7 linked regions of the Rattus norvegicus genome follow. The protein of the gene in region 3 interacts with the protein of the main gene of each other region in a pairwise test. Links are inferred from orthologs where the notes say so. Each region holds a gene or a part of one and is shown on either strand. Other genes may lie near its edges. The genes, in order: Bcl2l1, Tm4sf4, Creb3, Tmem115, Adtrp, Use1 and Alg3.

The links.
Region 1: the proteins of Creb3 (region 3) and Bcl2l1 interact in a two-hybrid assay, tested with the Homo sapiens proteins (2 studies listed by BioGRID and IntAct). The two-hybrid records come from large-scale screens. The link is inferred for Rattus norvegicus from reciprocal best matches to the Homo sapiens genes CREB3 and BCL2L1.
Region 2: the proteins of Creb3 (region 3) and Tm4sf4 interact in a two-hybrid assay, tested with the Homo sapiens proteins (2 studies listed by BioGRID and IntAct). The two-hybrid records come from large-scale screens. The link is inferred for Rattus norvegicus from reciprocal best matches to the Homo sapiens genes CREB3 and TM4SF4.
Region 4: the proteins of Creb3 (region 3) and Tmem115 interact in a two-hybrid assay, tested with the Homo sapiens proteins (2 studies listed by BioGRID and IntAct). The two-hybrid records come from large-scale screens. The link is inferred for Rattus norvegicus from reciprocal best matches to the Homo sapiens genes CREB3 and TMEM115.
Region 5: the proteins of Creb3 (region 3) and Adtrp interact in a two-hybrid assay, tested with the Homo sapiens proteins (2 studies listed by BioGRID and IntAct). The two-hybrid records come from large-scale screens. The link is inferred for Rattus norvegicus from reciprocal best matches to the Homo sapiens genes CREB3 and ADTRP.
Region 6: the proteins of Creb3 (region 3) and Use1 interact in a two-hybrid assay, tested with the Homo sapiens proteins (3 studies listed by BioGRID and IntAct). The link is inferred for Rattus norvegicus from reciprocal best matches to the Homo sapiens genes CREB3 and USE1.
Region 7: the proteins of Creb3 (region 3) and Alg3 interact in binary tests that used the Homo sapiens proteins (3 or more experiments, as listed by UniProt). The link is inferred for Rattus norvegicus from reciprocal best matches to the Homo sapiens genes CREB3 and ALG3.

Annotation. Positions count from the first base shown.
Region 1 is NC_086021.1:161,761,976-161,766,071, forward strand, and holds the start of Bcl2l1 (bcl-2-like protein 1), read right to left. Parts: upstream 2,801-4,096; 5' UTR 2,735-2,800; exon of another isoform or gene 1,360-2,734; intron 1,294-1,359; exon of another isoform or gene 1,276-1,293; 5' UTR 1,164-1,275; coding exon 600-1,163; coding exon of another isoform or gene 309-599; exon of another isoform or gene 1-308. UniProt on the Homo sapiens protein: Potent inhibitor of cell death. Inhibits activation of caspases. Appears to regulate cell death by blocking the voltage-dependent anion channel (VDAC) by binding to it and preventing the release of the caspase activator, CYC1, from the mitochondrial membrane.
Region 2 is NC_086020.1:143,754,928-143,758,860, reverse strand, and holds the start of Tm4sf4 (transmembrane 4 L6 family member 4), read right to left. Parts: upstream 2,801-3,933; 5' UTR 2,468-2,800; coding exon 2,294-2,467; intron 1,593-2,293; coding exon 1,503-1,592; intron 1-1,502. UniProt on the Homo sapiens protein: Regulates the adhesive and proliferative status of intestinal epithelial cells. Can mediate density-dependent cell proliferation.
Region 3 is NC_086023.1:62,612,316-62,616,451, forward strand, and holds the start of Creb3 (cyclic AMP-responsive element-binding protein 3), read left to right. Parts: upstream 1-1,336; 5' UTR 1,337-1,493; coding exon 1,494-1,670; intron 1,671-1,755; coding exon 1,756-1,912; intron 1,913-1,986; coding exon 1,987-2,057; intron 2,058-2,162; coding exon 2,163-2,252; intron 2,253-4,136. UniProt on the Homo sapiens protein: Endoplasmic reticulum (ER)-bound sequence-specific transcription factor that directly binds DNA and activates transcription. Plays a role in the unfolded protein response (UPR), promoting cell survival versus ER stress-induced apoptotic cell death.
Region 4 is NC_086026.1:117,084,975-117,088,905, reverse strand, and holds the start of Tmem115 (transmembrane protein 115), read right to left. Parts: upstream 2,801-3,931; 5' UTR 2,268-2,800; coding exon 1,417-2,267; intron 1-1,416. UniProt on the Homo sapiens protein: May play a role in retrograde transport of proteins from the Golgi to the endoplasmic reticulum. May indirectly play a role in protein glycosylation in the Golgi.
Region 5 is NC_086035.1:23,145,809-23,149,308, forward strand, and holds part of Adtrp (androgen-dependent TFPI-regulating protein), read left to right. Parts: intron 1-3,181; coding exon 3,182-3,316; intron 3,317-3,500. UniProt on the Homo sapiens protein: Hydrolyzes bioactive fatty-acid esters of hydroxy-fatty acids (FAHFAs), but not other major classes of lipids. Show a preference for FAHFAs with branching distal from the carboxylate head group of the lipids.
Region 6 is NC_086034.1:18,071,664-18,075,963, forward strand, and holds Use1 (vesicle transport protein USE1), read left to right. Parts: upstream 1-1,500; 5' UTR 1,501-1,508; coding exon 1,509-1,643; intron 1,644-1,937; coding exon 1,938-1,987; intron 1,988-2,062; coding exon 2,063-2,141; intron 2,142-2,261; coding exon 2,262-2,414; intron 2,415-2,932; coding exon 2,933-2,945; intron 2,946-3,273; coding exon 3,274-3,301; intron 3,302-3,554; coding exon of another isoform or gene 3,555-3,557; coding exon 3,558-3,729; intron 3,730-3,951; coding exon 3,952-4,134; 3' UTR 4,135-4,153; downstream 4,154-4,300.
Region 7 is NC_086029.1:93,803,544-93,807,692, forward strand, and holds the start of Alg3 (dol-P-Man:Man(5)GlcNAc(2)-PP-Dol alpha-1,3-mannosyltransferase), read left to right. Parts: upstream 1-1,349; 5' UTR 1,350-1,367; coding exon 1,368-1,563; intron 1,564-3,054; coding exon 3,055-3,154; intron 3,155-3,251; coding exon 3,252-3,399; intron 3,400-3,493; coding exon 3,494-3,654; intron 3,655-4,051; coding exon 4,052-4,149. Other genes in the region: Eef1akmt4 (EEF1A lysine methyltransferase 4), read right to left, coding at 291-486. UniProt on the Homo sapiens protein: Dol-P-Man:Man(5)GlcNAc(2)-PP-Dol alpha-1,3-mannosyltransferase that operates in the biosynthetic pathway of dolichol-linked oligosaccharides, the glycan precursors employed in protein asparagine (N)-glycosylation.

The sequences.
Region 1 (4,096 bases), on a different chromosome or scaffold from region 3:
GCAGTGAGGTACAAAGTCCTGGGGCACAGCAAGGGCTCCCCAAACAAGCCAACCATGGTGAAAATGAACTTAGGGGCACAGCACAAACACAATTGGCTCAGACCACCTTCTCTAAAATCAGACAATATTCAGCCAGTCAAGCCAGTGGGGCTCCTGCCTGACCAAATGGTCTGAATAGCATGCATGCGAGCACACAGGAGCCTGGGGTTATCAGCTCTGCAGTTCCTCCAGGTATTATATTCCTCCCCCCAGCCAAGGTGACCCATTACGTGAGAGTGAGCAGAACACAGGGAGAACTTGCTACTCTCCTAGGTTTTAAGCCAAGTAAACACACAGGCTGTTTTTCTTTGCCGAGAAATTGGAACAAAACTATGAAACTGCGGGGCCACAAGGGTAGCCAGAATGAAAAATACAGGTTCCTTAAAAACAGGGTCATCAATATTCCCAAAGTTAACCCCTGGTATTAAAGTGAAGCCAGGAATGTCTCCTGAATAATCGATATCTTCAACAACCATGCCAGGAGACCAAAAAGGGCAGTTAGGGATCTCCACAGAGGAGAGACACACAAGGGGCGGACACACAAGGGGCGTGGTTCTTACCCAGCCGCCGTTCTCCTGGATCCAAGGCTCTAGGTGGTCATTCAGGTAGGTGGCCATCCAACTTGCAATCCGACTCACCAATACCTGCATCTCCTTGTCTACGCTTTCCACGCACAGTGCCCCGCCAAAGGAGAAGAAGGCCACAATGCGACCCCAGTTTACCCCATCCCGAAAGAGTTCATTCACTACCTGTTCAAAGCTCTGATATGCTGTCCCTGGGGTTATATGAAGCTGGGATGTTAGATCACTGAATGCTCTCCGGTACCGCAGTTCAAACTCATCGCCAGCCTCTCTCAGCGCTTGCTTCACTGCTGCCATGGGGATTACCTCCCGCGCATCCAAACTGCTGCTGTGGCCAGTGGCTCCATTCACCGCGGGGCTATCCGCCAGGTGCCAGGATGGGTTGCCATTGATGGCACTGGGGGTCTCCCTTTCTGGTTCAGTTTCTTCTGGGGCTTCAGTCCTGTTCTCTTCGACATCGCTAAACTGACTCCAGCTGTATCCTTTCTGGGAGAGCTTGTAGGAGAGAAAGTCAACCACCAGCTCCCGGTTGCTCTGAGACATTTTTATAATAGAGATGGGCTCAACCAGTCCATTGTCCAAAACACCTGCTCACTCACTGGGTCTGCTCTGTGTTTAGCGATTCTCTTCCAGGATCCAAAGCCAAGATAGGGTTCTGAAGAGAGAGAAAGAGCTTCAGGAGAAAATTTTAATATGCATGTCATTTACCTTACAAAATCCCCATTCCTCCCCCAGTTACCAGAATTGGTTTCTTTGTGGCTCTTATGAAGGTCTGAGTCCAGGTTCTAAGAGACTTCAATGAAGTCAAATTGAAAGGACCAGCAAGCTTTGAATTGTTTCATCAGCCTCTTTTTACTACAACCACCCACCCCCTTTTCTCCGAAATGCCTTTCTCCAAAAGTCACCCCCATTGGCACATCCCCACCACCACCACCTACATTCAAATCTATCTCCGGCGACAGAGAGCAGGTGCAGCCCCCGGAAGGTCTTTTGTATCATAGGTCGGGAGGAGGTGGTGGCTGGGTCGCCGGTAACTCAGCAAAAAACCCCGGTCCCGGCCGGGATCATGCGACCTGGTAGGCAGGCCAGAGGAATTGCGAAGCTTAGGAACCTGCCCCCTCGCTTGCTTCCTCCATCGCCCAGATCGAGGGCGGCCTCTCTGCTCCGCAGCCTCCAGCCACCCGGGAGCCCAACCCCCTCGCTCTAGCACGCCCCTTGGCTCTCGCCTCCTACTGGGAGCCAGGAGAACTCTCCCGGAGGTATGGGTTTAGTGTAATTTCCCCCCACCCCTCCTTTCTTTCTTTCTATTTAAGTACCAGCCCTGGATGAGGCTTCCGAAACCCTAAAGGGACTTCTCAGTGAATCTCAAGGTTTCGCGCAGGGACGCGGGGAGGGGGAGACGGCCTCGGATCTGCGATCTGATTTCGGAAAGACCACTCCCGGGCCTTTCCAAGAGGAGTAGGCTGGAGACCCCCCACAAACACCGCTAGTTGTCTTTGAATTCCCCAAAGGCTCTGGACATAGCACTGGGGGACTGCCAGGTCCTCCATTCCGCGCCCGGACACAATGGCCGCCGGCACCCCGCACAAAGACGGGGTGAGAGGGAGGCGCTGAGCCCCGCCACTGGCCAGGAAGAAGGGTTGAGGCTCCCACAGCGGAGACCTCGTTTTCTTGAGACCCGACCCAAGGCGGCCTCCTGGAGCCCCCTGCAGGGCTCCAGGACCGGAGGCCGCTACGCGTTGGAGCCCCGGGTGGGTGGGCTGAGGCCTCGCTTACTGCTCGCGCTCCCCTAGGCCGGGTACCCGCCGAGCCACCGCCCCGTTGCTAGGCAACCGCCCTCCCTCAGGGGCGCCCCCTAGACCTCTCTGGAAGGAGGGGTCTCGCCCCCGCGGCCCGCCCCAGCTTAGCCAATCCGCGGGTCGAGTCGGCACGGAAGCGGGACGGCCAAGGCTCCCATTGGGCGAAGCGCCTGTCAGGCACAGGGGAGGCGGCGCCCTCACCTGAGAGCCCAGCGAGCCGTGGGGGGCCACATCCCCCCTTCATCGGCCCAGTGGCTTCCAGATACGAGGGCGTTTTGCGGCTGGGAAGTACGCCGCGGACTTGGGTTGGCCTACCTGGCTGACTGCTCGTGCCGAATCTCCCGGAGAAGCCGGCCTCAGTTTCCCCTGAAGAGACCGGGGGAACTTGCAAGCGCAGTCACTTCCGGTGCCGCGGCAGCGCGCGCGAGCCCGAGACGCAAAAGGAGTGCGCGCCAGGAGGGACTGGCGTTGAGACGTGGGAGAGCAGCGCCCCCTGGCGAGCGATTTGAGGAAGCGCAGGCGCATGGAACGCTAATGGTTCACATTCCATCAATCTAGTTCCTTCATCCATCTATCCGTTTGTATACTACAGAAAAAGTGCTTTTTCCTGGGTGTCCGACATCGGACAGGTTTCCCAACTTGTGTATTTCCCCCCCTCACTTTACAAATAGACAGCAGCATTGACCTTTCATTGACTGTGTATCGATATTACTTGAAAAGTCTGAAGACTAGAAAGCCTTTGGATTGTTGAAGACGGTTATGAACGAGGCAAGGCAAGGTCTCTGTTTTTGTTTTTTGTTTTTCTTTTCCTTTTTTCGGAGCTGGGGACCGAACCCAGGCCTTGCGCTTGCTAGGCAAGCGCTCTACCACTGAGCTAAATCCCCAACCCCAAGGTCTCTGTTTTTATGAAGACTTATACCTTAGGGGTGGAGGCAATATCCAACTAGGAAAATACGCAAGGTAAACTCTAAGGGGAGAAAATCCTGACATTGTGATAATCATGGTGAAACGAGATTTGCTTTAGAGTGAATGAGTGAATGATCCTTTTAAAAATGCAAACCCCGGGGCTGGGGATTTAGCTCAGTGGTAGAGCGCTTACCTAGGAAGCGCAAGGCCCTGGGTTCGGTCCCCAGCTCCGAAAAAAAGAACCAAAAAAAAAAAAAAATGCAAACCCCGACTCTGGCTGGCCAGTGCAGTAGAAAGACATTTATTTACACCATCTCGAACTATGTAGCATATGTTTGTTTGTGAGCCCAGCCTTTAACAACTGAGCCACCTCTTCTGTCTCGCTATTATACACAGTTTTTGTGTTGCTGGGGATCAAACCCAGAGCTTTGTGCATGGTAGTCAGGCTTTCTACCGGATAACTCTAGCAGTAACTCAGTTTTTCAAAAGTTTATTTTATTTTGGGGTATGTGCACGTGAGTGTGGGTGTGTATGGGCCACCATGTTTATCTGGAGGTCTGAGGACAACTTTTAGGAGTAAATCGTGTTCAGGAGTGGAACTCCCATCCTCAGCTGGTGAGGCAAGTTCATTCTTCTTATACGGGGTCTAGTTATGTAGCTGTTTAACTTGGGCTGCCCTTGACCTTGAACTCATAGCAGCAGTTCAGCTTCTGTGGACTGAGAGCTACTGGGATCTCAGCCTCCTGGTGTGCAGATGTCCACAACGTACCA
Region 2 (3,933 bases), on a different chromosome or scaffold from region 3:
TCATCCATATTCCTTAATTGGTATGTTTTCAAATTGGTATGTCTTCCAAACTGACAAATTATAAATGCTCTGACGGGAAAGAGTTATATAGCACTTCCTTTCCTTTATAGTCAAAATGAAAATAATATCTAGTATTTAGAACATTTAACACATAGTTATCTCAAATGAACTGTCGCTACTTCTGACACTCTTCGCAAATGATCATTCTGAATGCTGAAAGGACTATTTTCAGTATCCGTGATGGCTTTTTAGAAGGTGAATATTCTCTGAATGATGTGACGTCACACGAGAAACTGCAGTGTATCTATAATATACTGAGCACAGCAGCCCTTCATGTGTGCTTGCTAGATACCTTCTTTCTGTACTAAATCAACAAATGTTTATGAGAAGGAGATGTCAAGAATTTCAGAATGGGTAGACAGACTTTCAAGAATTTAAAGTGGGCTTGGGAGTCTCCTTGACGGGAACAGGAATCCTGGGAAGCTGGAGAGGAGAATCCTTTATTCTTTATCAAACCTAGGATCTACCACCATCATATTTCTGACTCATCTCATACCCAAATGCTTGATAGTTTTTAAGCTAACTGTTTTGCTAATTTGTATCACAATTTGAAAAAAGTTGAAATTGTTAGCAAACACAAAGATGGTGTTATTAAATTTTAGTTGTCAGGTGCCCCTTGAGTTTCTAGAGCTTTGGGTTGTCCGTCCTTTGTTGCAAAGGAAGTTTGAAGGTTTAGAAACAGCAAAGGCTTATCCCCATCAAAATAAGGATTTCTTTCCTTCATAAAATAAAAACAACTGGGGGATAAGTAAAAGAAAACATTCTTTGTTGTTTGGATACGTGTATCTTTGTACCAGGGTTTGGCCCATATCTAGGGAATTCTGATCCAGTCCAACTTGCTTATCTTACAGTTGGTGTCTTGCCCAGCTGCAGAAATGGGACCTGACTCACATTCCAGCATTCCTTCTGCGCCCCTGGAAGCATTAATACCTCCCTAGTCTCCACTTCACCAACAAAAAGGTGGATGGCCACAAGAAAAAAGGAGAAGAGGCTGAAATCCTGAGGCTGATTCTGAATGGTAATAGGAAATACAGTTTCCATAAAGAGTGCCCTTTCTTTTACTTGCTCTGGTCTCCTTCAGTGAAGAGGCAATTGAGGGCTGGAAGAAGGATATGACTTGGTGACGTTCTCATGTCTTTTTAGTTAGCCAGAGAGGGAAACCTGTGGCTCTATCTTTGCCCTCCTTCTGGGGCCTCACTCTGGTTTTAAGGCTCTGGCATCTCCGTGTACTTGTAAAACTTAAATGTATCTTCAGCTCTATGAAGGCTGTAGAATTTAATGTTTTATTCTTATTATTCTGATCAGTGGGAATTAGAGCTTAATCATATACTAGATGACCCAGGAGTCTTGGCTGGGGCTGATTATTTGTTTCGCACACCCGTGCTGCCCAGCACAAACAGCGAACCCCAGCTATTCTGCCAGCTGATCCCATAACGACTCACCGCAAATCGCTTCCCACAGCTCTCATTACCACAGCATCCGCAGCAGTCATTGTTCTGCAGGCCCAAGAACACCAGCGCAGGGAAGATCATCTGCCAGCAAGAGAAGCACTTAGAGGGTCTGGCATGAAGGGAAACCCATATTTTTCTAGCTAGTGAAGACCTCAGGTTTCAGGGGCTTAAGGGGGCAGGCAAGACCTAACAGCTGGTATGGCTCATGGGTAGACAGGGGGTTTTGAGTATGGGGGTTCCATTTGGACAACTTCTGTGAGGAGATTTTAAGAGCTGATATGCTGAGTTTTCATTTACAGGGTGCGTTTAGGGCAAGGATAAATTTATACTCAGGGTATAGAAAGTGAGTCCCTCTAGTACGAGCTAGAGGTCCCACCCATATTGGAAACAAGGCGATGAAGAAGCAGTGATTCCTGAATGAGGGCTAACCTAGAGCTTCTGCATCTCTTCATTCTAAGTCAATCCATTTGTATAAAGCACCGTGTTCTGTTTTTAATTCTTATTGCCACGACTGACTGAAGTAAAGCAATCAGGTAGCTGTTAGCTTGGTCCTGTGGGCTCAAATGTCCTAGGGTGACTCCAGCCCAGGCTTAGGGGTGAACCACTTAGTAAACCAAGCTGTCCTCAGCCACGAATAGAAAGGGGAAGTATATTAAGGCACTACTTTTCATCACACAAAAGGTTATTAGCTTCAGAATGGCATCCCATGCTCTAAGGACTGAATGAGAAGCGGATGAAAGTGGGGGAATTCTCCTTTGTGGGACTAAGGTCTTTCTACTCACCAAGACTCCACTTCCCAGTATTCCTCCGAAGTACCAGACCTCATCCGAAAGGTGGCTGTTGTCATCCACCACTTTTCCTCCAGGAAAAAACAACAGGATATTTGCCAGGACGGCAAACACAGCCAAGGGAATGAGGGTGCCCCCCAGGCACCTGGCACAGCCCCCAGTACACATGCTGGGGTGGCACAGTAAAGCACAGAGATCAAAGGCTCCTCACCACCAGCTTCACAGGACTCCTCAGGGATTTTGGCAGCGCGTTGCAGTGGCTGTACCTGGTTCAGTAAGAAATTTGGGACCAAAATGTCAGAGCGTTTTGAACCGTGGAGTCACTTCTGAACTATAGCAGGCCCTCAGTGGCAATGGGCATTTATATCCCTGACCCAATGTCTTTTTTTTTTGCACCCCATAAATGAGATTACGTTCTGCGCGATCGTTCAGTTGTTTTGCCATGGAGACCAATAACCTCTGTTAATAATCCACCAGCACAGACAAGATGTTCGAGTTGCTGCAATTGAAGAGAAGGCTGGGATAGGCAGTGTTCAGCACTGCCCCTTTAATTTCATAACGTCTCTGCCCAAATAAAGAAGTACTCCCTAGGTATTACATCACTCTCATAATCCACTAATATCCTGATTAACGTTATGCCTCCCAAACACTAAGTGATCTGCTCAGCTCTTCCTTGGTCTTGTTCACGGAAAGCCTGAGACACCGGCATATCCAGATGGGCTTGTTTTCCTTAATAGAAAAATAATTTCATGGCTTTATTGTATACTGCTAAACTCAGGTCTGGGATTTTTAAAGGACAAAATCAGAACAGCTATTTACTTTACTGCCTGACTGCTGTATTTCTTTACTTGTTTACTCAATTAGGCAATTAAATACCACGTTCTTCCCACCACATCATAGAATCAGCAAAACCGATTTTTCTAATTGGGTTGTTTGGTTACTTCCTACAGAAATAGAAACCTGTGTGTACTGGAGCAAGAGGAGAGCCCTGGGAGAAGCTAGATGCTGATGGAGGCAGAGAGGATGAGACTGGAGGCAGCTAGAAATCAGGAGGAAGGAAAATACACCCGCACTGGAGGCTTGGCCGCCTGTTCAGGAGCACAGTTGCGTTATTGGCTTGCTTTAGGTCTCTTAGGATGTCTCAGGCACACCTACACCAGCTCCACATGATGCACTGACTTATCCGGGTATTGTGTGATGAATCAGCCAGAGCAGTATGGGATGGGGGTGGGGACAGATCCTGTCTAGCTCCTTACTGACAGTCTAGAGGTCAAAACTGATGACAGTAAGTAAGGTATTTAGGGGCTCGAATTGTTGCTAAAAACAAAACAACAGAACCCAATTGACTCATAACTGTCATGGAGCACTTGCTCCTTGACAGAGATGACCAAGGAAACAGTGGACTATGCTTTGCCAAGTCTCTGGGACCACAGTCCAGGGGAAATGGATGTGGGAAGGATTATGGGGAGGCAGACACTGAGGTTCCTCCTGGAGAGTTTACAAAATGTGCCTTGGTTGTCCTGAATACCCACTGAGAGAACTCGGGGTCAGTGTGAGACAAGAAAACAAAAGGAAGTAGTCACTGAATGCCTGCAAAATCTCAAGTACAAATGAGTATTTGTGTGTGTGTGTGT
Region 3 (4,136 bases):
CCAACTTCTTACATTTTACCTGTTCAGCTGTAGCTGCAGCCTTGACTCTGATGCTATCACTAATTCCTAACATTAATCCTGACTTTATTTTGTATCCTAATTCCCTATATTTTGACACTTACCCCTTTCCTAGCACACAACCATACTAATCTGGCTTTTATTTTTAGGCCCAAATCCCCTAACTTTAACCCTAAATACTGCCCCTCTCCCCAGTCCTAAAGCTCATTTCTACCTTGATTCTTAATTCACCTTCTCACTGTTTATTCTTAATACTGACCATGACAATGGCCTTTAATCCCTGAAACGAGCTTCTAAGCCAATTCCTGTTGTTGATCCTTAACCCGATCCTGTACACTGACTTATGCTGGTCATTCCAGAAAATAATGACCTCAGTTTAAATGTCACAAACACGAAAGAGACTTGACTCATGCATGTTTAAAATGTAGTCCAGCTTCTTAACTTCTAATGGGATCCTTGCTTCCTAAACCCGACGCACCTAACTCAAACTCACCCAAAGTTTTCCTAACCACATACTCACTATCGGCTAACACCAAAGCCCATCCCCGCCCAATGCCTCACTGCCACCCCATTTCTACCCGTCCCAAAAACTATCCGAGACAGAGAACTGTCTACTCCCGCGAAAAGGGCCTGTCTCTCGCAACACGGCTGGCTTAATTTCAAACCTAAACTGAAACGTACTGTACCCTGACCTCCCCAACCGGACACAGGATATGCAAGAGGATTGGGGGCCCCGCCCGCCGCTTCCCGGGCCGGCCTGATCCCGCAGCCCCACCTAGAACCTCAGCCCAGCCCGTCCGGCCTACCTGCGCTGCCCAGCTCTGCGCCCCGCCCTGGGCCCGCTACCCGCTCGTTCTCCCGGTCGCTTTGGGGCTCCGGCCTCGCCCTCCCTTCGACACACTCTCGTCCACTTCCGTCCTGGAAACGTCCCCCACCCGCCGGCGGTCCGCTCTATGGTCGCAGAGACTGCAGGAAGCTGCTCTGGCCGCAGCTCTCGATGCTCGGGCTCCCGCGAAGCCTGGCCGCCCCTCCCCGGCAGGAAGCGAGGGTGCAGAGCACTGGAGAGAACGCCCGAACTAAACGGGAGTTCCCTTTTAGACTCTTAGGGTTTTTTTAATAGCTCGCGGCGAAGGCGGATCCGGATCCTCAGAATCCCCGCCCTGGGGCGTGGGAAGCTGAAGGGACATCCCCATAATTTGCATAGCCCCTGGGACGTGGCGCACTACACAAGCCACTTCCGAGTTGGAGGGAACTCCAAGTCCCAGGATTCCACGGGACTATGTGCATCACTTCCGTTATGTTGGACGCTGAGGGGAATAGAAGCTGAGAGGCGGGTGTGGCATATAGAGTAACAGCTAGGCCCTGGTCCGGGAGTGACTAAGGTTAAGTCGATGCGACTTGACAGACTGAGGGGTCGTGCCTAAGGTTCGGAGATTGGATCTGCGCAGAGGAGTTTCTATCCATAAATATTCCAAATGGATCCTGGTGGTCAGGACCTGCTAGCTTTGGATCCTGGTGATCAGGACCTGCTAGCTTTGGATCCTGGTGATCAGGACCTGCTGGGCTTCCTGCTAGAGGAAAGTGGAGATTTGTGGGCTGCGACTGAGCAGGACATAGAGACTCCCCTGGACTTGGAGCTGTCGCCTTCCGAGGTGGGTGGGTGTTCTGAGTGGGGAAGCTAGCGATGTCCCTGAGACCCAAGGTACAGAGATAAAACAAGGCCTTTGATTTTGTTAGAACTCCGTGCAAGAATTGAGCGACTGGGAGGTAGAGGATTTACTGAGCTCTCTGCTCAGTCCCTCGTCATCGCCGGATGTTCTCAACTCTTCTAGTTCTTCTATTCTCCATGATCACAACTATTCCCTTCCACAGGAGCACGTCTCCATAGATCTAGGTGAGTGTGAAATGTTAAGTTATGGGGAAAGAGAGAGCTCACTGAACTTGCTAGCCCTACTTTCGCTTTTGCAGATCCTGGGAGCTTTGAAAAGGAGGGGTTCCGCATGAATCCATTGCGTGTGGAGGAGACAGCAGCAGAGCAGGTACTGGGCTTGGTGTTTCAGGATTACCTCACTTTGCAGCGGCCAAGAATCCCCCATACTGCTCTGACATCACCATGCAACTCTGCTCTCTTCCTCCAACCTTAGGAACTTTCTACACTGATACTGACGGAGGAAGAGAAAAGGCTTTTGGAGAAGGAGGGGCTCACTCTGCCCTCAACACTTCCTCTCACTAAGGTAAGGCTTCTGGTAGTAGAGCAAAAGCTGGAGGGGGATTGTATAACCCAAGTAGGCAAACTCAGTTTATTTCATATCGATCACTTACAAAAGGACTGAGGTCAGAATGGAAGCTGATAGTGGGAACCTGGGACGAGCAGATACCAGGGTAGATCCTGGTCTTGTGGCGCTGATATACATTTTGGCGTTCCTTTCAAAATTATCAGTGTATGGCTTTGTAGGAAAAGGCCTTGCTTAACTCCCAGGACCCACGTGATGGAAGGAGAGACCCCCATGTACAAAAGATAATTTTTTTTTTTTGTTCTTTTTTTCGGAGCTGGGGACCGAACCCAGGGCCTTGCGCTTCCTAGGTAAGCACTCTACCACTGAGCTAAATCCCCAGCCCCAAGATAATTTTTTAAATGTAGAGTAACTTTAGAACAGAGCCTTGAAAGGGCCTTCAAATGATGGCCTTGACAGATTTCGTTGCTATCTTGGGACTTCGCCTTTTGCTCAGTGGTAGAGTAGATATGCTGGAGAGGCTGAAGCAGTCTAACAACAATAGTTGTTACAAAGCTGTAACAAAGTTGTAACAAAGCTGGACTTGAGGGGCTCACACTGCCATAACCCTAGAGGCAGAGGCAGGAAGGTCCTCCCACGCTCAAGGTCACTTCCCAAGTGAAAGCATACTGCATCTAGTTTTTGTGCCCCTTTTATTGTCTTACTTCTTTTGTTATGTATGTACTGACTTATTTGGGACAGGTGGATCAGGAGTTAAAGGCCAGACTTCGCTTCATGTTGAGTTTAAGCAAGCCTGGCCCACATGATAAACCCTCTCCTATCCCTCTCCTGCCATTACGAGATGAATGAGCAGTATAGTAGTTAATAGGAAAGAAAATGGAGTTTTGGAATTATCAATAGTGGCTCCGTCCCTAGGACAGTAACTGTCTTGTCCTCCTTTACACTGGCCAAAGCATACCATAATTCTCCTACCCCTGGGATTGGAATATAGCACCTCTGGAATACTCACCAAGTGCTCTACCACTGGCTACGCCCTCCAGCCCTGGTTTGTAAGGCAGGGTCTTGTAAGCCCAGGCTGGGCTGGCCTCACACTGTGTCGTAGGTAAAGAATGCCTTTGAATTCCTGGTTCTCCTGCTTCTAGCTTCCTAGGACCAGATTACAAGTGTATGACATCACTCCTGGCTACTGTCCAGGTTTGACAAGCATTATCAGAGACTATGAGAGTTAACTTTATTCAGTTTTAATTTCTGAAAAAAAAAGAGTTTAAAGTACTTAAGATAAAGATGTTCTATATCATTCTAGAGAGCCTAGGAAAATCCAATGGGTGGAAACTAGAAGATTGATGTGGGTTTAGGATAAGGATGGTGGTAGTTGTTAGTTCTGAGACATAGTCTTCTGTAGTTCACTCAGTCTGTCCTGAAAACTACCCTAACCAAGGATGGTCTTGAAATCCTGACCTCCTTCCTCTTCCTCCCAAGTGCCGATATTACAGGCATGTACAACCACACCTAGCTTAGGAGGAACTTTTTAAATTAATTGGCAGCTGTAAAGATGGCTTAGTGGTTTAGAGCACTTTCTGCTCTTCCGTGGGGCGTGAGTTCCAGTCCCAGCACCCACATGGCAGCTCACAATTATCTGTAACTTCAGTCCCAGGAGATCTGTCATTGTCCTCTAGCCTGTGTGGGCACCAGGCACACACATTATACATATACATTATACAGACATGCAGGCAAAACACCTATACACATAAAAATAAGAAAACTCTGGCTTTTAAGTGCTGGACACGTGTCCTGTGGAGATGTCCACACAGAAGGTGAATGCCTATTGGCAGAAAAGCTGTGGAGAGAATTTCATTGGGAAGGTTAGCTGCCATCCAACACACC
Region 4 (3,931 bases), on a different chromosome or scaffold from region 3:
GTCACAGGGTCAGAGACCTCTGTGGAATGCTCTTTTCTCCTTGTAGTCCTTTAGGTCTGAGAGTGGCATGCAGTTGGACGACAAATTGTATGGCAGAGTATTAGCCACCCCATGTGAGCTAACAACCTTCAGACTGGGCCGGAAACCCACGTCTTGGGCCAATTCCCACTCTTCCTTTTCCTGATCGAGGATAGAGGTTTTCTGAATGACCAACCAACTGTCACAATGCAAGATTTCTCTCTGGGACAAGGGCAAGCTCTGGCCCAGTCCCATCTGAACAGCTTCAAGGGCAGCTTTGTCCCTCAAAAATTCAGCCCCCCAGCCCATTGCCCCTATTAAGCAAGGTCGAGATGGAGTCGTATCCAGGACATTCCCCCAACACTCAAGTCGTGGGCCCAGAATCAGGCCTGCAGCATGCCCTGGCTGTGTTCCCACACCCACCAACTGGTAACCCCTTCAAGGAAGGGGCCACACTCAGCTCTACAGTCTCAGTGGAGAAGAAGCAGAGAGCTCTTCCACTGAGGTCAGGAACCCCTTTCACAGGTGAGCAGAAGCAGGGACCTTTGACAAATGCTCAGGAATAAGGCTGCTGAGAAACTTCCTGGACAGTCTCAGGAGTAACACTGGACACAGAACTGTGGATCTCCCCGGAGCTGGGAACACTGTAAAGAGTCCACAGGTCTCAGAAAGTAAGGCCTGAATTCAAAAAGCTTTCTCCTGTTTTGGCCAAAGTGCCCAGCGAGTAATGTAGTAAAACTACAGATGCTGCCTGGTAGGTAACACAAAGGCCTCTGACCTGCCCCGTGTGGTCAGTAGGCTCCTGCAGTGGGTCATACGGCCTGTTCCCTCTATTTGGTGACACGTCTGAAACGGGGGTGAATTTAGTAATACCCCAACCGTCCTGCATTAAGATGGGAAAGACGGGTTGGGGATTTAGCTCAGTGGTAGAGCGCTTGCCTAGGAAGCGCAAGGCCCTGGGTTCGGTCCCCAGCTCCGAAAAAAAAAAGAACTAAAAAAAAAAAAAAAAAAAAAGATGGGAAAGACTTTAAGGACAAAGACATCCTTCCCCATCTCCTATCACAGGAGAAAAGGGCCAACAGTTTCTGTCTCTCACAGAACCAGTGCTTAGAATCTGGAAATCCTGAGGCAAGACCAAAGGTGACTGGGTGTTCTGCAGACAGGTTAAGTGGCCCAAGTTATGAGAAACACACACTAGAGCCCAAAAACCTACATACTGAGTTCCCTCAAGGCCAAAACCTGAGTCCTTTTTTCGGAAGCCACCCCTAACACCTGTCGAAGCCACCCCTAACACCTGTCCGTGGCTCTCCAGCCTACGTAGTGCAAACACCTCAATGCCTGGTTATGTGGCCACACCAATAGTCTAGCTAGTCAAGAATTTGGAAAAGTTCCTAGTACCTTCTCCGCTCCGCATCTTGAGGGTCTGTGCCTGGGAGGCTGATAGTGATGGACGATGGTGCTCCGACATCGTAGCGCTTCACTGTCTTCTGACAAATCTTCACCTTCACCAGGAGGCCATGCACCAAGTTCGCTAGCAGTCCCACTACCGGTTGCAGGATCTCAGGGAAGAAGGTGGCAAAAGCAAAATGATCAGCCATGTCCCCTCGGCCTCGGCTGTGCCGCTGATAGAAGCGAAGATACACCCAACTTGATAGCAGCCCAAAGCCGTAGGAAGCCAATGCCGGGCTCTGGAGCAGTGTGGCCAACCGGAGGAGTAGCAGCAACGCCAGCAATAGCATGGGAACTACGCTGACGCGGACCTGGGGCACTCGCAGAACCACACAGTCTCCCATAGTTTGCTTGAGCGCTACCAGGACACCACCTAAGAAGCCCAGGGCGCCGTGGATACGAATAGTGAACAGGTAGACCAAGTTGAAGGAAGCCATGTAGGTGAGGAGGTAGGCGAAGGCCCCCAGAAGCCCCACTGACACATTCACCACCGAGAAGAAGATGAGCAGCTCCAAGGCTCCCCAGAGGGGCTCCAGTAATCGTCCGGCCACAACTACTGTGGCCAGACTAATGGCCACGTCCCACACGTGCTGTTCCATGAGCCCATGGGTGGCCAGGGTCCAGATCCAGAAGTTGGGTGGAAAAAGGTAGCCTGGGGTGACGGCCAGGCAGCCCGTGTCCACAGCGAAGGAAAGCAGATAGAGAAATAGTACCACAGCGCACAGTGCCTTCACTACCACGCTGGCGCTGGCCAGGATGGCCCCCAGATGCTGGCGGGCACCGGGCAGGGCGCGTTGCATCTTCCTGGCGGGCGTTGGCTTGAGGGAAGGTGAGGAAGGTGGCCTAGGGGCCTCCCCGGGGCCTCGTCCCAGTTCGGCCCCGACGGGAGGCCCGGGCCCGGCTACTTCACTGGCTTCTGTTCCGTGTGACGGCTCTGGTTCCGGTCTGATCCGGCTGTAGTTCCAAAGCGAGGAGAAAGCCTTCTTGCCGGGGACCTGACGTTAGGCCCTGGGTGGCTTGGGCACGCCTGTCTGCCGGTTCCGTCGGCCCAGCGGCCAGGCTAGCGTTGATCTCAAGGCTGGGCTTCCTCCATCCACTCTGAGACTCTGCGATCTGCCGGGACTGATGCCTTGTTCCAGTTCAAGTCAAGCCCGTTTAGCTCCGGCTGGGCTAAGGTTTTGACTTGACGGTACCTCCTCCCCTCTCCGGGGCGGACAAACAGGGGCGCCGCGCCTGCGCGCCCCCGCCGGCGGCCGCGACTGTACGCCCTCTGAGCTCTTGCCTTCCGGCTCCTCGGCATGCTGGGATACGGAGTCCTTGAGACCTAGCCGACCGGTTTTGGCATAGAACCACAAGTCCCAGAAGCCGTGCACGGAACAGGTCTCGTAGAATGTAGAGGCTAGGGCACTTGGGAGTTGTAGTTTTCAGTGCTTATTCCTCTAGTTCTTAGAAGTTAGGGAAGTGGAGACCAGTATTCCTGATCTCGGAAAGCAAGGCATTGAGTGGCCGGGTTCAAGAGGCAGCGCCGCCTTGGGCCGCACACTTGCTGCACTCTTTGGAGGAGGAGATTGGCTCTATTTGTGACTTGTACAGGTACAGCAATGTTTTTGTAAGCGGGTACAAAAGAATGTGAACGGTTCTGATGTGTTGTATCAATGCGCGTGAACTAGCCAGAAATCCTGTCGTCTGGCAAATGGAGCCCAAGGCAGGCCAGAACCCTTGTTCCATCATTTGTAGTTAATGTGATATTGATCAAGTTCCCGAACATTTTTGAAGTGCAATTTCACGAACCTTAAAAATGATGGGGACTGGAGAGATGGCTCAGTGGTTAAGAGCACTGACTGCTCTTCCAGAGGTCCTGAGTTCAAATCCCGCAACCACATGGTGGTTCATAACCATCTGTAATGAGATCTGATGCCCTCTTCTGGTGTGCACTTATATATAATAAATAAATGAATCTTTAAAAATGATGGCGATGGCAGGCTCTTACTATAGTTTTAAGGATCAAAGAAGGCAGCTATCTATGTAAACGACTTGCCATGTTGTGTTGGGTGTTCACATTGCCCTGATTCCAGCCAACTGTACTTGCTACATGAACTTAGGTTTTCCATCTCAGGGGGAATAAGGGGCAAGGCTGTGCTGCTTCAGTGACTCTTCTCCCACTTGATTCCACTTGCCAGAGAAATCTCCCTTGAGCTGGAGAGATGGTTTAGCGGTTAAGAGCACTGACGGCTCTTCTAGAGGATCCGGGTTCGATTCCCAGCAACCACAGGGCAGCTCATAGTTGTAACTCCAGGTCTAGGGTTTCTGACACCCTTACACACATGCAGGCAAAACACCAATGAACATTAAAGAAAAAAGATTATTTATAAGTCTCTCTGTAAGTGCCAGGTTGGCCTAGGCTCAATTTTACGCTTACAGTGGTTATCAGCAGGGTGTTTGAGATTTATTTAAAAGCTATTTT
Region 5 (3,500 bases), on a different chromosome or scaffold from region 3:
AGGCAGCAAAGGGCTGAGTATCTGGAACTGAAGTATCTGGAACTGCAAGAGTATCTGGAACTGAAACTAGGGCTGAGAGCTATGTGAGATGGGGAGAAGGCTGGAGAAGAAGCAACTTCTGATATCCGTGTGCAAATGACTTCATACTCAGAACTCTACAGCTCGTGGGCTTTGAGCCAAAGGCACCAACAGTTAGGGCTAAACATTCTTCAGGGAACCTCTGATAGCATTTAGAACTGTGACTCTTTCCCTCCTTCCCACACCTACCCTCTGCCCTTGGGAGGCCTCCTCCTCCTAGAGGAACCTTTGGACTCTCACCCAGTCTGTGGGTCTACCCCAGAATCTGCCTCTGTGACCTTGAATAAGCCTTGCCTCATCCTGTGCCTCACCTGAGGTAACTTCCTGGCATTTGTTCCCTGCTCACAGTTCCCTCAGCAATTTCATTCCACCTGAGAGGACTGACTGACTACCTAGGTCTTCTCCCAGCCTCGTCTCTCTGTAACCACTTGATAGTTGTATTTCCAAGAGGAGGTTTTACTGGACAGGTAGGCTTCAGTCTCGGATACCTAGGATCAGCATTCCCCAGGGGTATGGCTAGGGAAGAAGGCTCAGCTGGTCAAGGGCCTGAGCACAAACACCAGAACCAAACTTCCATCTCCACCATCTACATGTAAGGCTAGTCATGGCGGCATGACCTTGAAATCCCAGCACAGAGGAGCTGAAGACAGACAGGTCCCTAGGAATTGCTTGCTCACCAGCCTAGCTGAGGCAGAGAGTCCCAGACCCCAGTGAAGAACCTATTTCGAAACCCAAGATAGATGTTGTCTCCTGACCAAGGTTGATCCCTGGCTAACCCTACCACCGCATACCCAAAAGAAAACAGAGCAATCTTGGGAAGATTTATAAACCCTAATACCTGAGCTGTGTCCCCTTAGGCCCATTAAAGGGGTAAAAACAGCACAGTGTTTTTGTTTTTTTGTTTGGTTGTTTTTTTGTTTTTGTTGTAATTTATTCTCCTAGCCATATAGAATTGTTTCTCCTCAATTCTGCTCAGGAAATCTGATGTTTCTTAATTCCGGCTCAAGAACCAGAAGCCTTGGGTTATAAACTTGCAAGTTTATTAATCTCTCTTTAGCCCATTTTTCACATCTTTAAATGGAGCTGAGAGATTAATCCTGACACATCACTAGGACAGTTGGGAAACACAAGCGAGTCTTGAGTCTGGCATAAAACAAGCCAGGACCAAAAGTCAACTGGAGTCAACTGTTGGAGTTGTGAATCCCTGGTAAAGACCATGAAGGATGGATGTCTAATCCAGAGGGTTCTGCCCACCCAAGGACCCCATAGAGTGCTTGTTAAAAAATCACCGCTTACACCTCCTTCTCAGGGGCTGTGATTCCAAAGTCTGTGGGCAGAGAAGAGTCCCAGCTTTCTGGGAAGCTCCAGGCAGTGCACTTTCTGCTGGTCTGAGAACTCAGCTGCCAATCATGGATCATTCGTTTCTCCCCATCCCCCTCCTGCTCATTCCTCAGCCTAGGGAGTGTCCTGAAGTTAACTTTAGATCCTTGCTCAAGTCTAAACTTCAGACACTGTTCTCCAACAGCCAGCTCAGATCAATTATTAACCCAGCTCCCCGGGTCCCATAAATCTCCCTTCTCATACTCTAGGCTAGAATCCAACAGCCCCTCACATGCCAAGGCAGAGCCTCTAAGAACTTATATGACTTCTAAGGCAAACATACTTCGAATAAACCCAATCTTTGTATAGCCAGCACCCACCAGAGCTTAAATTAGCAGCCATAACATTACACAAAACACACAAGGCTTGATTTCTAGGCCCTGCTTACTATCCTGAATCCAAAGATCTGACAATTGACTCTAAAAATCAGAGTGTCTTGGTCACAAGTATGATGTTGCAAATAGAAAATTTCACACAATCTAACTTGATTTCATGCACGAATCATTATTAAGAGTATGGTACAAGGTTACCTTCAAGCTATTTTTAAGAGGCGAACATAAAATATGAATTAATTTTGTTTGCATGCATGAATTCTCTCTTCATTATGAGTCAATATTCTAAAATCTGGACAAAGAAATCCTCAGTCCAGAGTACTTCTAGTGCCAAGCATTTAGGATAAAAGGCTTCAATCTTGCTGACGTGAAAGGGGTTCTACTTCTCTCCTGCTTTGCTTCAAGCACCTCACAGAACTCAGCAGCTGCCACAACTCCTGCACTTGCTTCCTGGATCCCATGATTTAAATCCTTCCAATTATCAGATGGCTTCCCTACAGCCTTCGGGCAGCGCCCTGTAGGTAGGGGCTGTACTGGTTTCTCACTCAGAGTACGGTGTCATGATGTGCACTTTCTTCAAATGCCACAGAGCTCCATCCTGGTGTTCATGACCCTCATTATGACTTTCTCAGTGAGAGTTCAGTGCGTGTGTGTGTGTGTGTGTGTGTGTGTGTGTGTGTGTGTGTGTGGTGTATGTAAAAGAGAGAATATGTTCATGCATTCATGCGTTTATGTGCACATGTGTGGAGACCAGAAGCCAACTTTATTTCACGAGTTTCTTTCTTTCTTTTTTTTTTTTTTTGTGGAGGTGGGAGGGTGGGACACCTTTCTCTGCCCTCACCCCACAGTGCTGAGGTTACAGAGTTACAGACATGTGCTGCACCCCATCCTGCTTTTACGTGAATACTCGGGATCTGAACTCGGGTCCCCAGGTTGTAAAGTAGCCATTCCACTGACTGTTGTTTCTGCCACCCCCTAGGCTTTTTTACCTCCATTATCTTTCCCTAGAAGGGACTCCCGACCATGTCCCACTGTGCCTAGCCCTTCACCCTGAGCTGTATATTTGGTTCTTACCTCTGTGCAGCTACGTATCACAGCTCATTACTTTCTCTGTTTAAACTCTATTTTGTTTCCATTTTAGCCGAAGACCATTAGACTAAATACTGTACACACTATTATCTCCTAAATGAATTTCCTCAATCAGTTTTAGTGTGCAAGGGTCAAGGCCCAGTGAGCTGGAATCCCAGCCCTCAAATTGGCTCTGCACCCAAACAACCCGGCATCTCCTCCTCCTCAGGTCCACATTGCTCCCAGAGGGCTGCAGCCCTCCATCAGGGAAGGATGTATTAATTAAAGCCAATGAAAACACTCATTTATTGTAATGAATTTAGCTCTTGCAGGCCGTTTTCTTTGGGGTCGCCTGCCTGGATGATGTGCTAAAAAGAGTCATCGGAAGGAAAGACATCAAGTTCATCACCTACTTCAGAGATCTGCTTTTTACTACGCTGGCTTTTCCTTTATCCACAGTAAGCGCCCAAATGTTTGTCCAACACCATCATTTCATACAATGGATGGATGCTTCTCTTGGAGCAAGGTGGTCTGGAGACTGATTGCTATAACCAGAGCATCTACATTTCCACAGTTTCTGTCTCAGAACTGACTGCATTGGCTAGCATCATCAGGGAGTGGGGTAGTTAGCAAGTGAGGTTA
Region 6 (4,300 bases), on a different chromosome or scaffold from region 3:
CAGAAGAGTTCTTACTGTTCTCTCAGAGGACACAAGGTTTCTACTGCTGTGAAAAGACATCATGACCATGGTGACCTTTATGAAGGAAAACATTTTACTTGGGGCTGGTACACCGTTCACAGGAGCTGGTTCACAGGAGTTTAGTCCATCATCGTCCATGACGGGAAGGATGGTGGCACTCAGGCAGAAGTAGCTGAGGATTCCACATCTGAATCAGCAGGCAGCAGAAAAAGGACTGTATGCCAGTAAGCCTAGTTTAAGCTTTTGAGATCTCAGAGCACACCCCGCCCCATGGTGCACTTCCTCTGTAAACCACTGCCTATGGGGCTCATTCTGATTCAAACCACTAGCAACAAGGTTCAACGACCAGCACCACAAACCTTAGAGTCACCATAACTCCAGTACTTGGGGTCCAGTATCACTTTTGTTTTTTAAGGTTTAAATAGTTCTTTAGAGACATGATTTCTGTGTAGCCCTGGCTGTCTTAGAACTCTGTAGACCAAACTGGCCTTGAACTCAAAGATACACCTGCATCCGCCCGAGTGCTAGGACTAAAGCCCCACCCCGACCCTGCCCAGTTAAAATGTATATGTTTGTGTGTCTGTGTGTTGGTGTGTGCATACGAAAGCATGGGAAAAGTCAGAGGTGTCAAATCCCTGGAATCACGGGAGGTTAGCATCTTTTGTAAAACTGCTCAGGACTGAGACAAGCTTGTTTTACATTTCTAATGCTCAGAAGTCACATGAGAGTGAAGAAAGAGGTGCTCAGTGGCTGAAAGCACATACTGCTCTTGCAGAGAACCTAGTTATTAGCTCACAACCACAGTAAATTCAGCTCCAGGGAATCCTAGCTTGTTTACTAATTCACATGGCATTCCCTGAATTTCTCAAGGGCTACATTCTTCAGGAAGTACAATATTCTCCATCTTCCGGGCCTCAACCCTGTAACAGAGTACATTTAACCTAAGATGAAGCAGAGTTGCTGGTAGCTAAGGAAGACGGGGGCCATGGACCATAATTTATGACAGAAGAGTGGAAACAGCCAGGTCAGAGTTCGGGATGCTGGCAGCCAGGACTGGAAACTAGCAAGTTGGCCAGATGAAAACGTCCGACTGGCACCTCATCAAGCAGGGTCGGGGGAGGCCCCATGTCAGGGCTCCCGCCTCAGAGGTAGAAAACATGCGCACTGAGCGCGGAGGCGAGGTGAACAAGCGGAATGTAATGGTCGGCGAGCAAAGATGAGGAATGGCTTTTCCGGTCCTGCCGTCCAGTTCTTGCGGGACATGATTGGTTGTTCAGGGTCTGGATAGGCTACAGAAACTCTGCTTCAAAAAATGAAAGAAGGCCAGATATCAAGCCACAATTTTAAAAAGAGGCTCTCTAGGGACGAAAACGACTTATCTTTGAATAAACTGCGGCTTGAAATAAAACTCCGCCCCATGCGTAGCAGGGCGGACCTCGGAGGGGGAAAAAAAAAAACCCACGCAGGCACTTCCGCCCCTTTCTAAGATGGCGCAGGCGGAAGGGGCCTGTCACCGTCCGCTGGCGACGTCGCGGCTGGAGTTGAACCTGGTGCGGCTGCTTTGTCGCTGTGAGTCGATGGCGGCCGAAAAACGAGAACCGGACGAGTGGCGTCTGGAGAAGGTGAGGGAATCCCACGCCGCCGCAGAGTCCTGGAGCCCTAAGGGCGGGTGATCTAATCCACAGGCTACTGTCTCCGCCCCTTCTGGTCGGCGGCGACACGCCCCTCGTGCGTAGACCCCTGACGTCCCGGTTTCTCTCCCTACGGCCTCACGCACAGGCCACGCCCTCTCGATTCTACGTCTTCGCCTTTGCCCCCTCCCCTCTCTGGCTCCTCCTCTCCCGGTCCCACCCCTCTCCCTAGTTTGCTCCTGCCTTGGGGTACTGGCCTGGCTGACGTTGTACCTTCCTTCCCAGTATGTGGGTGCCCTGGAAGACATGCTGCAGGCCCTGAAAGTCCAAGCAAGGTGAGTGTGGGGGACCGAGACGCCTCCTCCCACGCTGCCACAGCAGCAGGTTGACTTTGTCCTGCTGCTTTTCAGTAAACCGGCCTCGGAAGTGATCAGTGAGTACTCCCGCAAAGTGGACTTTCTGAAGGGCATGCTGCAGGCTGAGAAGTTGGTGAGCCTGCCCTCCCATCCCTCAGGCGGGCCTCACTCAGTTTCCCACATCTCCTAGGACCAGGACACACACACCCATACTCCCCCAGTAACTTATTTTCCCCTTCCCGTGTCTCCTCAGACCTCCTCCTCTGAAAAGGCTCTAGCTAACCAGTTCCTGGCTCCTGGCCGCGTGCCCACCACAGCCAAGGAGCGGGTGCCTGCCACCAAGACTGTACATTTGCAGTCTAGAGCACGTTACACCAGTGAGATGCGGAGTGAGCTGTTGGGCACGGTACGATTCCCTCCCTCGTCCCTGGATAGCTAAGAGAGTAGTTTTCAGAGGGTTAGACTGGAATAGTACCACAAACCCTAGAGGGCCACAAACGATGAGGCTCCCCTAGGAAACCACTGTGCTCAAGAAGAGTGGTTGGCTGGGTGGTGATAGTGCATGCTTTGAACCCAGCACTCAAGAGGCAGAGGCAGGCAGTGAGTTTGTGAGTTTGAAGCCAGCCTGCTCTACAGAATGAGTTCCAGTAATCAGGGCTACACAGAGAGACCTTATCTTACAAAAAAAAAAAGAATGGGCCATGTCTGGTTAAACCCCAGAGTAGCAGAGTAGGCCCCACAGCTTACAAGAGTCTGCCCAAAGCACAGAGAGAAAGGGAGAGAGGGAGGGAGGGAGGGAAGGAGGGAGGGAGGGAGGGAGGGAGGGAGGGAGGGAGAGAGAGAGAGAGAGAGAGAGAGAGAGAGAGAGATTGATTTAGAAAAGACATCAAAATATGCATGGCCTCATTCCTCTTCTTCCTTTAGGAGTCCTCTGGAGGTGAGACATGCAGGACACGACTGTCCCTGCCACCCCGCAGCCCTCATGCCTGCCTGGTTCCCTTGTTCTTTCCCAGCCCAGGAAGAGTCCCCCAGGGTCATGTCTGAGTTATGCCTAAGGGGAAGCTGAGAAAGAGAGGGTGGTCCCCAGCACAGTGCTAGGCCACTGAGAGGGACCTGGGGCCAGGGTACACAGTTCTGGAGCGTGGGCAGCTAGCAGCTTGCACGCAGAGCAGCCTTCTGCTTAGCCGGGTGGCACAGCTCAAGGCCGGGAGTTTGGAAACAAGAAAGCAGCCATCTTCTTTGTTCTTGGCCTCTTTTGCTTCCAGAGCTGGAGGCAGACATGAGGAAGCGAGTGTGAGTATTCGGCCCCTGGCGTGACAGGGAAGGGAAGTGAGTGGCTGAAGCTGGGGCCCCTGAGTTGCTCTAAGGACCAGCTGCCTGCTGGGAGTCCTTTCTGGGGCTGCGGTTCCCAGACTGTGAAAGAGCAGGGGAAACTGAGTCCCCAGTAGAACTGAGGGTGGTGCCATGGCCCTGGGATCCTTGGGAAGTGCCATGTGGATGTCTATATCTCCCTGTCACTACTGGGGATCCACAAATGTGGGGTCAGCAGTGTGAAGGGGCCTAGACCTGCAGATGAGAAGCAGTCAGCGTCCGAGCTAGACCTCGTCCTCCAGAGGCACCAGGGCCTCCAGGAAAAGCTGGCTGAGGAGATGCTAGGCTTGGCCCGCAGCCTGAAGACCAACACACTGGCTGCCCAGAGTGTCATCAAGAAGGACAACCAGGTGTGGTGACATTGCAGCCTCTGCCTCAGGGCACTAAGAAAACTCTGCAAAAAAGGGGCATTGTGACTGGTGTTTTGCTGGTTGAATAGGAGTTTGATAAAGCCCAGAGGGAGGGGGTTGGCTGAGTATACTTGGCCGAGGGCACAACATGGGCCAGAAGCACAGGCTACTCAGAAGTCACACTTGGTCTCAGTCCTGTTGACACAGTCCCTTTTCCCACAGACCCTGTCACATTCGCTCAAGATGGCAGACCAGAACCTGGAGAAGCTGAAGCTGGAGTCAGAGCGGCTGGAGCAGCACGCACAGAAGTCGGTGAACTGGCTGCTGTGGGCCATGCTCATCGTCGTGTGCTTCGTGTTCATCAGCATGATCCTGTTCATACGCATCATGCCCAGACTGAAATAAAACAACACCCGCCCGCCAACCCGCACGCCTTCAGTGCCAGCGCGGGGTGTGTGTGAGAGAGAGAGTGTGCAAGTGAGTGTGTGCGAGTGCGACTGTATATGTGTGTGTGAATGTGTGAGTGTGTGTGAGTGTACGAGTGTGTGTGTGAGTGAGTGTGAGAGTGACT
Region 7 (4,149 bases), on a different chromosome or scaffold from region 3:
AATGTTGGGACTTGAAGTAGGTCCACAGAGATGTACTCTCCGGTGTCTTAGGCTGTCTCCAGTGTCTGGGGCAGGGTAATGCCCCTCGCTGAGACACCAAAGGACTGTTTTTTTTTTTTTTTTTCCAGAGTCCTGACGATCTCTTATTTCTGTTTGCCCTGGCTAAATACAGACGGATTCTGAAGGTACTGGGTCTTGGCTCCAAACTGGGGAGTCCTGTATAAGAGAAAGCAGAAGGGAAGAAAGCGGATATGGTCTGGCCAGCGACCCGTGGCTGGGACACTACCCACCTAGCACGAGGATACGGTCCTCAGGACACAGCTCCGGCTCTAGGAGGGCACGGAAGGAAGCGAAGTCCCCGAACCACTCGTAGGGTCCGGAGTCGGCCGCATCTTTGTAGCGCTGGTCCCAGTATTGGACTTGGCGGTACTGTAAGTTCCTTTCGGGTAACTCCGGAGGGGACACAGGAGTCCGGGGAGAGGCCATGCTCCCGGCTGCCGGGCTGCCAGGGCGGAGCTTAGGAGCCCAATCACCGAGGTAAGAAATGGGAGGCGGAGCCTGTGTCTCCGCCCCCCCCCCCCCCCCCGCAACCCTTGCAGCTGCTCCACACAAACACGTGGAACTTCCGTCATTTTCTGAGCTCTTTTTTGAAAATCGTCCGGCTGGAAAGCTGAATTACTTGTCGTCTTATTAACGTACTGCCCATCTCAACTCGACCACATTTCCTCGTGGCAGACCAGATCTGGTCACCAGATGTGACCAGGCTCATCACTGGCGTCCTCTCGTGTTTGGTTCTCAATAACCCTTTCAATTAAGAGGCGTGATTAATTAAAGATCCCCTTCTTCCCAAGATTTTTGGCGCACCTTCGGGTACTTCGGAAAGGCGGGAGGAATGCTGAAAGGAGCTTTCCGCTCTAGCGTAAACACAATTACTCTGGATATAGGCCGAGTAGAAAGCTGGGCTTGGAGAAGAGAACAGAACTGTTTTGTTTTCTGGACAAACACTGATATAGTGGCGTTTATGCGCTCTGGACGGGACATACACCGAGAAGTATATGTATATTTATATTACAATATCGTGTAGATGTATTCTAAGGACTAGCTATCTTACCCTTATTGAGGTCCACATATCCACATTAGAAATATCTCTCACCACTATATATAAGAAGCACTAAATATGTATCCAGTGAATCATTTTGACCTAGAAACTTCAGCGCCTTGAGTCGATTTAGCAGACTGCTATGCAGTAAATAAGAATTCTGGTTACTCGGATCGTTTGAGAGGACGCCCAGAGCGGAGACCGGAACCTAGTGTCTTAGGGTTGGTTTTCCCGGGTGGTGGAAGCACAAGAGTGGTGCACTGTCAAGATGGCTGCTGGGCTGCGGAAACGCGGCCTGCCGGGTTCTGTCGTCCAGCCGGCAGGAATCTGGAAACAATGGCTACAGCGGGCCTGGCAAGAACGCTATCTACTGCTGCGGGAGCCTCGCTACACCTTGATGGTGGCCTCCTGCCTCTGCCTAGCAGAGGTGGGCATCACCTTCTGGGTCATTCACAGGGTGGCATGTGAGTTCACCGAAGGGGAGAAAACCGGAGGGAGGGAGCGATACCCAAACCTCTGAGCCAAACTAGATTACAGAGCTTTCGTTCACCATTCAAACCTATATCCTTTACCCAACCAAGCCCACTTTCCAGAACAGCGATCATAAGCTCTCTTCCATATGGGAGGGAGGTGACCTTAGAGATTACCACCTGCATTTAACATTCAGCCTGCTAAGAAAGCATAAGCAGCCGAGCAGTAAATTTCGGCCAGGATTAATGTGCTATTGCTGTTCCTGCTGCTTGTCTGTTCCCTTAGACAGTCACTTCCCACGCCAGATCTGATTTTCCATACTTTTAATTCTTAGATCCTGGAAGTCCTTTTAAAGAATGGCATTTTGTGACTATTTGAGTCCACTAGGTACTGGTGTCTTCCAGAATCAGTTTGTTTGAAAAACAAAAAGAACAAAAACAGGGTCTCTCTAAGTATCCCTGATTGGCTTAGAACTTGCTATGTAGACCACAGTGGCCTCAAGCTCACAGAGATCTGCCTGCTTCTGGCTCCTGAGTGTTGTTGAGATTAAAGATGGACACCACAACTGGCTTCATAAAGACCCTGTTTTTAAAATGAGAATGAGGAATATTCAAGAAAGATAATCAGAATTAACCTCTAGCTTCCACATTTATACTCACATGCATTCATACTCACTTATGTGTGTGCCCACACATGTGCATATGAACACACACAAGACAAAGACAGCAAGCCTATTTCCTTTTAAGAACTAAGGAGCCGGGTGGTGGTGGCACACTTCTTTAATTCCAGCACTTGGGAGGCAGAAGCAGGTAAATCTCTGTGAGTTTAAGGCCAGCCTGGTCTATACACTTGAGTTCCTGGACAGCCAGACAGCCAGGGCTACACAGAAAAGCCCTGTCTCATGAAACCACAGAGAGAGTGAGAAAGAGAGACAGACAGACACACAAACTGAAAAGGAGAGAAGTACTACTCAATACTTGAGGAACACAGCAAAGAGACTAAATTTGCAGTAGGAAGAAAGATCATAAATTCAATTCTACACATTGAGTTTAAGACCCCTGTATTCATGGGCCTAAGGAGATAGCTTAGTGGGTGGTATTTACCATATAAGTGTGAGACCCATAGTTCAGATTCCTAGTATTATACATAAATGCCAGGCAGGCTTGGTGGTCCATTTGTAACCACGGCATTAGAGAGACAGGACAAGGGATCCTTGAAGCAAACTGACTAGCTAGACTCTGTTATAAGTGATGGAGGAAGACACCAGTGTCAACTCCTGGACTTCCCATGCGTGTGTACACAGACACACACGGAGTATATGGGTTCACCCAGAGAATGCCCTATGTGCAGTTAGATAAGGGATGGTGATGGAAGAAACCTGGGAATAAGGTAGAACTCTGGGCTTTGGTGGTCTGAAGGCATGGGGTTTAGAGGTAGACCAGTTCTGGACTCAGAAGGAACAAGACCATGTTATCTTCTTCCAGACACAGAGATTGACTGGAAGGCCTACATGGCCCAGGTGGAGGGTTTCATCAATGGCACATATGACTACACACAGCTGCAGGGTGACACCGGACCTCTTGTGTGAGTGAGGATAGGAAGTCTGAAGAAATTGTGAAGGGCCGGGTGGGTACCAGGCGGATGACCCTGACCTCGGCTCATGTTTCCTCTCGCCTTCCAGCTACCCAGCTGGTTTTCTGTACATCTTTACGGGGCTTTACTATGCTACGGACCGGGGCACTGACATCCCTACGGCCCAGAACATCTTTGCTGTACTCTACCTTGTCACCTTGGTGCTTGTTTTCTTGATATACCACCAGACCTCCAAGGTGAGTTGATGCTGCAGGACCAGCTGGCCCTGCCTGAAACGGGTGGCGGGGACAGCTCAGGTGTGGGGAGCTGATCTCGGTGCCCACCCTTTAGGTGCCTCCCTTCGTCTTTTTCTTCATGTGCTGTGCCTCTTACCGTGTCCACTCCATCTTTGTGCTGCGGCTCTTCAACGACCCGGTAGCTATGGCATTGCTCTTCCTCAGCGTCAACCTCTTCCTGGCGCAGCGCTGGAGCTGGGGCTGCTGCTGTTTCAGGTCAGAGCCTCTTCCTACCCCCCACCCCTCCCTCACATGTCCATAGCTCCCCGATGTTCTGCAAGGAAAGCCATCGAGAGCGGTTAGACACCGCAGACCACTCTGGGCCTCCCTGAACAAGTCCAGGATCTGTAGAGAGGCCCTCTTTCCTCTTGCTTTCTTCCTGTTTCGTATGTCAGTCAGTACGTGTCCGGTTAGTCTGGACAGAGGGACCAGGTATTATTCCTCTTCCCAGCCTCCTCTCAGGCCATCTTATGCTCCCCTAACAGTTCTGGATGGAGACCACATCCTGGCACTTAATAGCCTGGGGAGAAATTCTTGGGAGGTGGGTGTTGTTCCGAGGGCCACACAGTCCTGGAGCTGATCCTCCGCCTTTCCTGTCCTCTGTCCATTTCAGCCTGGCCGTCTCGGTGAAGATGAACGTGCTCCTTTTCGCCCCAGGATTGCTATTCCTTCTTCTTACTCAGTTCGGCTTCCGTGGCGCCCTCCCCAAGC